Linked DNA regions of Mus musculus. The protein of the gene in region 1 purifies or fractionates together with the protein of each later gene. This does not show direct contact. Links are inferred from orthologs where the notes say so. Each region holds a gene or a part of one and is shown in the gene's direction. Other genes may lie near its edges.

What was found.
Region 2: the proteins of Kdm5b (region 1) and Pax9 purify together in Homo sapiens (affinity purification with western blotting, with the first as the bait; 3 studies listed by BioGRID). This does not show direct contact. The link is inferred for Mus musculus from reciprocal best matches to the Homo sapiens genes KDM5B and PAX9.

What each region holds. Positions count from the first base shown.
Region 1 is NC_000067.6:134,612,007-134,615,960, forward strand, and holds part of Kdm5b (lysine-specific demethylase 5B), read left to right. Parts: intron 1-1,181; coding exon 1,182-1,363; intron 1,364-1,880; coding exon 1,881-2,005; intron 2,006-3,911; coding exon 3,912-3,954. UniProt on the Homo sapiens protein: Histone demethylase that demethylates 'Lys-4' of histone H3, thereby playing a central role in histone code. Does not demethylate histone H3 'Lys-9' or H3 'Lys-27'. Demethylates trimethylated, dimethylated and monomethylated H3 'Lys-4'.
Region 2 is NC_000078.6:56,708,853-56,712,806, forward strand, and holds part of Pax9 (paired box protein Pax-9), read left to right. Parts: intron 1-800; coding exon 801-1,055; 3' UTR 1,056-3,954. UniProt on the Homo sapiens protein: Transcription factor required for normal development of thymus, parathyroid glands, ultimobranchial bodies, teeth, skeletal elements of skull and larynx as well as distal limbs.

The sequences.
Region 1 (3,954 bases):
GGTCTACAGAGTGAGTTCCAGGACAGCCAGGGCTACACAGAGAAACCCTGTCTCGAAAAACCAAAAAAGAAAAAAAAAAAAAAGATAAAATACATTGGTGCAAAATTCTCAATAATAATGGTAGCTAATTTCTGCAACTTGAAAAACTATTCTTGACCTGTGGAATGTGGAATTTACAAGTTAAAATTGTGTATAAACTATATGTTTTCCATTCTCAGCAAATTCAGAGTTGGTATTTGGTCTTCTTTAACCTCAACTCTTTCCAGACCACAGAAGTCCTTTTCAGTGATCATGATTAAAATGAAAAATCTGTTCATTAGCATTTTTTACTTTGTCTTGTCATTGTTGATTTAACGTGTAATTGTCAGAAATTATTAAAATATTAATGTAAAACCAACCAACCTTCCTTCCCTCCCTCTCTCCCTCTCTTCCTTTGTCCCCTTCCTCCCTCCCTCCCTTTCCCATTTTTACTTTGTTTGTAAAGTATGTGTGTTGGTAGAAGGCCTTAGATCTCTGGTGGCAGCGACAGGTACAGGTGGCTGTGAGCTAAGGTCATCTGCAAGAGCTGTGTTCATTCTTCTTAATCCTAGAGTCATCTTTCAAGTGCCTCTATGTATGTGTCTTGAAGATGCTAGGGATCAAATCCAGGGCTCTCTCTGTGCATTGTAGGCAAGTGTGCCAGTGTTTTTACTTTTCCTTTGTGATAGAAAGCATGTGTCTTTAGCTCTTCCTCTCTGTGCCCCAATCTTTCTGTAAGGTAAGTTTGGTGTAAGGTTGCTAACTTCAGCAGTATTCATTTATCAACAATTTTATTAATGCTCAAATAGAAATAAGTGGTTAGACTTGAGGACCTGCCTCATCCAAAGAAGGATTCTCCTTGGACAAGTAGAATAATGTGCTATTATTATTTTTAGATTATTTAGTTCTTTTTTTTTTTCATGTATGTGAGTATACTGTTTCTGTCTTCAGATACGCTAGAAGAGGGCATCACATTACAGATGGTTGTCAGCAACCATATAGTTGCTGAGAATTGAACTCAGGACCTCTGGAAGAGCAGTAAGTGCTCTTATCTGCTGAGCCATCTCTCCAGCCCGGTTATATAGTTCTAAATAGTACATATTTTCTTGGGTCTTTTAGATTGTATTATCCTTTCAAATCCTCTAATATAGATTTTGTTTTAGGGAGTAATTGATTCTGAAAGAATGGATTTTGAGCTGTTGCCAGATGATGAGCGGCAGTGTATAAAATGCAAAACTACATGCTTCATGTCTGCCATCTCCTGCTCTTGTAAACCTGGCCTACTTGTTTGCCTACATCATGTGAAAGAATTGTGTTCTTGCCCCCCGTATAAGTATAACCTGCGGTAAGTAAGGATGAGTTTTTTTCCTTTGGGAAAGCATCCAATCATTTATTTTGAGTGTGCATGTGCATAAGTGTCTTTTTGATGCCCTGGCTTGAGTGCACATGTATGCACGTGTGTGATCATATTTATGTGTGAATGTGGTTATATATCCAAAGGCAGAAGGAAGAGAGAGACACTGGGCCTTTCTTGAGCAATTGAAACACCAAAGTCCAGTCCCACTGACACACTTTCATCAAGGATTCACCTCTGATTCCCTCTCAAGTCACACCACTCCATGATGATTAAGCACTCAAATATTTGAGCCTATGGGGGCCCTTCCTAATTAGATCACCACCACACATAGGTTTTGGGGATTGAAACTCAGGTTCTTGTTCTTGTAAGTAAATTGCTCTACCAATTGAGCCGTCTTCCCAGCCCACACTGAGTCTTTAGTTATTATAGGTCTCTGAATGTTGAGGATATAACGTCCAGTTTTTTCCACTGGCCCGTCTCATTGCTGTTTGTGTTCTGTGTCCAGGTATAGATACACTCTGGATGATCTCTATCCAATGATGAATGCATTAAAGCTTCGAGCAGAGTCTTACAATGAATGGGCCTTAAATGTGAATGAAGCCTTGGAAGCAAAGATCAATAAGAAGAAAAGTAAGTAATGCAGAAAGTGGTACTCAAGCTGCAAAGTCTAGTTGGATTTTGTTGCAGCCAACGTTTTGAAACAGCCTAATTTCCTGCTTAATCTTACATCCAGGTCCTTGGCAGAAGGTTCTAGCCAAGATGGATGAGGCAGATGGCCTCAACATCTCAGTGAAGCCTGGGTATATAGGTTATACAAGATGGTTTTGGGGCCAGCGAGGTGGCTCAGTATACATGCCTCTCGGGCCCAATGATCTTGGATTAGGTTCCTGGAACCCATGTGACATCTGAACCAGTTCACCTCTGACCTCCATATGTACACCATGGCTCACATTTCCCCACTTTGACGCCCCACCCCCTGTAGTGAAAAGAAAGAAAGGAACAAACTAAACTTCTTTAAAAAAAAACAAAAACAAATAGAAAGCAGGGCCGTGGTGGCGCACACCTTTAATCCTACCACTTGGGAGGCAGAGGCAGGCAGATTTCTGAGTTTGAGGCCAGCCTGGTCTACAGAGTGAGTTCCAGGACAGCTAGGGCTATACAGAGAAACCCTAACAAAAAACAAAAAAACAAAAAACAAATTGGGGGGGGGGGCGACCCAGAAAACCAAAATAGAGCTGGAAAGTTGGCTCAGAGGTTAAGAGTACTGTTTGCTCTTTCAGAAGACCGGGGTTCAATTCCAGTCATTCACGTGGTGGCTCATAACTATCTATAACTACAGTCAGTCAGAGGGTGTATAGTGCTTCCTCTGTCCTCCCCAGCCACTACATACATATGGTGTATAGAGATATATGTAGGCAAAACACCATACACATAAAAATAAATAAATCAAGCCGGATGTGGTAGCACGCACCTTTAAACCCAGCACTCAGGAGGCAGAGGCAGGTAGTCTGGCCTACAGGGTGAGTTACAGGACAGCCAGGGCTACAGAGTAACCCTGTCTTGAAAACCAAAATAAATAGATAAATGAATAAATTTAAAAATCTTAAGAATATAATAGCAACTTTATGTATTTTGTTAAAATGGATTCTTTGAAATGCAGTATAATACTAAAATGTTGGTGAAATGTTGGCTTAACATTTCCTAGTTCTAATCAAAATTTAGTGTCCCTGGCACTTATCATTATTTTTTTCTCTCTTCTATATGTGTGTGTTTTGCCTGCATGTATGTGTGTGCGTGTGTATCTGAGCCTACTCTGTTGTGTGCCTGATAAACCCTGAGGTCAGAACAGGGCTGGGCTTGAGGATGATTGTGAGTTGCTCTGTGGGTGCTGTAACTGAACCTGAGTCCTCTTTAATAACAAGTACTCTTAGCGGCTGGGTTACCTCCAGCCATTCTCCCTCCTTTATGGTGTGTGTGTGTGTGTGTGTGTGTGTGTGTGTGTGTGTGTTTGTATGGGTGCTTAGAGAGGTCAGAAGAGAGCTCTGGGTCCCTGGGTCTGGGGTTATATGCTCCTGAGTCATTATGCGGGTCCTGGGATCCAAGCCTGGCCCTCCTCGGGAACAGTGAGGGCTTTTAGCTGCTGAGCCTGCCCTCCACCATTCCCTCCAGACTCAGTTCTCTGCACTCTGTACATCAGCAGGTCCCTCCCTCCCTTTTCATGGAGGGGAAGGGAGCACCACCACCAGTTTCTTGTCAACTATACAGTGAAGTAAAGACCACAAAGTGGGTTAAACCACAGTAGATCTCTATTACTTTTCTTTCACAAATCAGCAGATTTTCACTTAAAAAAAATTCTAAACTTATATCCTGAAGACCCAACTCTATAAGTACCCTTTGTCAGACTATTCCCCATCCCCCCAATCAGATAAACATTGCTTGTGTTACATTTCTGGGTAAGAATGGACAGAAAGTCTTCTCTGCTCTGTAATAGTGATTATGAGCTTGATCACAGGAAAGATGACTTGTTCTGTTTTAGGTCTTGTCAGCTTTAAAGCTTTGATTGAAGAATCAGAAATGAA
Region 2 (3,954 bases), on another chromosome or scaffold:
TTGTTCATATGGCTTTAAAAAAAAACAAAAAAACAAACAAACAAAAAAAAAAAACCAAAACCCTGGACTTTGCAAATGCAAAATTTCCAATTCAAAACTGCACATATTCATTCATATTTGTGGAGAAAATTTCCTTTCTGATTGTGAAAAAAAAATCTCCAAACTTAAAAAACCAAAACCAAAACAACAAAAAAACCCTTACTAGAAAAATCCCGAGTTTACAATGTCCTTGTCCAAGTGGCGTTTTCAACACGATATCTTGAAACATGGCCCGTGCTTTATTTAACAGAAAATCTGTCCGTTTTGAGTTTCTAACACAGCAGGCCACACTTTCTGCCTTTCTCTCCTGGAAATGAAAGCTACAGGAGACAGGTCTGTAACAAAGCTCCAACAAAAAAGGCAAAAGTTAGCAAGTGCCGGGGAAGGTTGACAGAGGCAGTGCAGTGCTGAGCAGAATTCCAGAGTGCTTCATCTCAGTCGACTTTTTCTCAGCCTACTTATCCTGCGTGTATTTTTAAGTCACAAAAGTAAGAATGATTTTTTTTTTCTTCTGGTTGTAGCTTCCAAAACTCGTCTGTAGAAAGAAGAGCGTCTTGCTTTTCAGAATTGTGTTTAAAGAGCAAGACAGGCTACCCTTAGGTCAAAGTAAGGTTAAAAGGAAGTCTAGGGGGAAACGACAGCCCAAATGTAGAGCCAGAGGGCTGTTAACTCCCTCAGGATTTGTTTTCTGTGTCTGAGGACTGGAGAGATGTTAAATACTGTAATGTGATTGTCTCTTGTTTCTTCTCTCTTCCTCTCAGGCACCGAATGGTCTCCCAGCTGTGAGCAGTTTCGTCTCAGCATCCAGCATGGCTCCTTACCCTACACCAGCCCAAGTGTCACCCTACATGACCTACAGTGCTGCTCCTTCTGGTTATGTGGCTGGACATGGGTGGCAACATGCCGGCAGCACCCCACTGTCCCCCCACAACTGTGACATTCCCGCATCGCTGGCTTTCAAGGGAATGCAGGCAGCCAGGGAAGGCAGCCATTCTGTGACCGCTTCTGCACTCTGATGGGAGCGTCCACTCCGGCAGCCCCACTTCCGGTCTTCCCTCCTAGCACATCCTCCCTCTCGTCACACCCCACCCCTCCAGTGGTCCAGCTTTACTGCCTCAAGAGCTGGCTTCATGGATTCATAATCTTTGTGCTGATGACACTTAAATATTTTTTTTTTTTGCTGTAACTTCCCTTTTCCAGGAAACCTGGCATAACTTTAGGATTTAAAAACAAAAGCAACTCTAAAGGTGGAATGAGGCATTTGTGTTGCCCGCACACTGTTTTAACACAGAGAAGAAACCTATCCCCCTCAAAGGGCTTATGGAACATTGTAGGTCTGTCTTTGGTAAAACCACACCTGTATATTTATTCTAAATCAACCTGAACTTTCGAAACGTGCAATTGTTGAGATTTTGCAAAATCAATAAAGGAAAACAGATGTAGAAAAAAAAAAAATTAAGTGGTATGCTCTAATCAAATAAGGTGACCAAAAAAGCTTTAATTCACCATTAGGAAACTAATCAAAAACTGACTTGTGTGATCTTTTGTTTCTTTTTAAGAGATGATGTATTTTGCTGAGAAATATGTATAGAACTCAAGCAATATTGGAATTTTGTGCCTTTGGTTGTTTTGACTTGGTTCCTAATACAGTAATGTTTGTATTTCTATGACCTTGTAAATATGGATGTGGATGTCTTCGTTCCACGGGGTACCCCTCCACCAACACCAACACCTCTCTTTTATCTTTCTTCCTTTGCAAAGGTGACTTGCTGGTGATGTATTTCTCTGTTTGGTGGTGGGCCACTTGGGCTCCTGGACCTGGACTTGCCCCAGGTCGTGTGTATTCAGTAGAGGCTTCAGCATCTCATGAAGGATACTTTTTTTTTTCCTATAGCAGAGGACTCAAAACATAGATAAAACAAATCAGGTTTTAGTTTGTATCCCAGTCAAACAACACATATGTCAAGCACAGGACAACAAAAAGGCTGTAACATACCTGTACTGCAATCCTCTAACAGAAGTCACTAGGAACACATCTAATGTGAAATGGGTTTTTGTCTTTTTTTTTTTCTTTCTTTCTTGCAACAACACTTAAAATGAACTTTATGTGCTAGAAAACCACTGTGAAATGAAATTGTACTGTTGTTGTTGGCTTACCTGTGTGTTCAGCAATCTCAGCCCCACATTTGTCTGATAACTTAAAAGGAGATGGAGAACTCTTCTCTAATGAATGTAGTAACAATGGCTTGCTGTGAAGTTTACAGTGCGTACTGAAGCATGTTTCGCGAGTAGGTCAATTGGTGTTGGCATCAGAAATACAAATGCTATTTAATTTGTTAGCAAATTCTTTTTTTTTTAAATGGAATTACAGAACAGAGATTAGCTGCTAAACCCTTCTATACCAATTTGATTTTTATGTTAATGTTATGAACAGAGCTATAGGACATGCAATGTGTGTGACCATGTGATTATATGTTTTATTTTATAATAGTTCATTTTCTTGGGCAAGATTCTACAGTCTGCATTCCTTCTGCTGCTTGGCAAAATAGGGTTAAAATTTACTTTTAGAATATTGGCACCATTCATCTATTGAGATATTAATGTACTGTTTTGGTATTAATTCCACTCAATAACTAAACAGGTATGGATTTTTTTTTTTTGTATTTGTTTTTTGTTTTTCGAGACACAGGCTTTCTCTGTGTAGTCATGGCTGTCCTGAAACTCACTCTGTAGACAAGGCTGGCCTCGAACTCAGAAATCTGCCTGCCTCTGCCTCCCGAGTGCTGGGATTAAAGGCATGCGCCACCACTGCCCAACTAGGTGATATGCAGCTGTATTTAAGGAACTAGGTGCCCCCCACATCCCCTCCCCCAGCCCCCCCCCCCCCGAAACAGCGTAGAGAGTTGTCTTATGAAATTTCTTATAGAGAGCTTCATGCTGCATTTCTTTCTAAAGCAACCAACACTCGTTGCTACAAAGAGGATTATAACTTTAGGAGAAGAGTAAGCAGAAGGAGCCAGAGCTGATCAACTCTCAGGGCCATAGAAGCCCTTCGATGTTGTAAAACTCCCCACTGACAATTCGCGTTCCCTCCCGCGTGGTAAGAAGACAGGCTGTAACCAAATGGCATTAAGATCCAATCCAATATTTTGGTGGGGACTGCTATCCAGAGAATCTGACTGAAGGCACAGAATTATTCTATATCTAATAGGTTTTTAGGTGACTATTTGGGATATTGCAAAATAGTAATTGCTTTTATGGAAACATAACTGATAACGTTATTTTCCTTATCTAAGTTAAGAGGTCTTATTGTTATTTATATTTTTCTGGTTTTTGTATTTTAAGAAATTAATATTGACGGTGTCAGAGTTTTCTTTTTCATTCTCGCTCCTCTCTCCAGGTCTCTAATTGATAATGGTAAATCCACAGGGAACAATTTTAAAAGACAATGGAAAACCGTGTTGGCAATTCATAGCCACTTCTGACTGAAGCCACATTAACAACCAAGAACAAGAACACAGTGAGGTAGGGCCGGCTAGATCTGCAAGCCTGTTACTGTTAACACCAGCCTCCTCCAGACACTAGCTCCTCCTCAGAGGGGAACATTTTCTAAGTTGGCACATGCACTCTTCATAATTCCTTTTTTGCCCTGTTGTGTGCCTTTAGCTCTCTTGCAGAGGACTCTAGTGTGTATCACCTTCCAGGACAGAAAACAGCCATGCAACACAGACCCACTTGTTCTGCTCCTGGCTCTCTGTTCTTTAATGACCCATATATTGAATATTGGGCTGAAATACAAATGAAAAAGAAAAAAAATCATGTTGGGAAAGATGTACAGCAGAAGGCTCTGTATGTATATAGCGTATGTCAAAAGCCTTTTATTTTTATACTTCAGATGCTCTAAGTTAATAAATA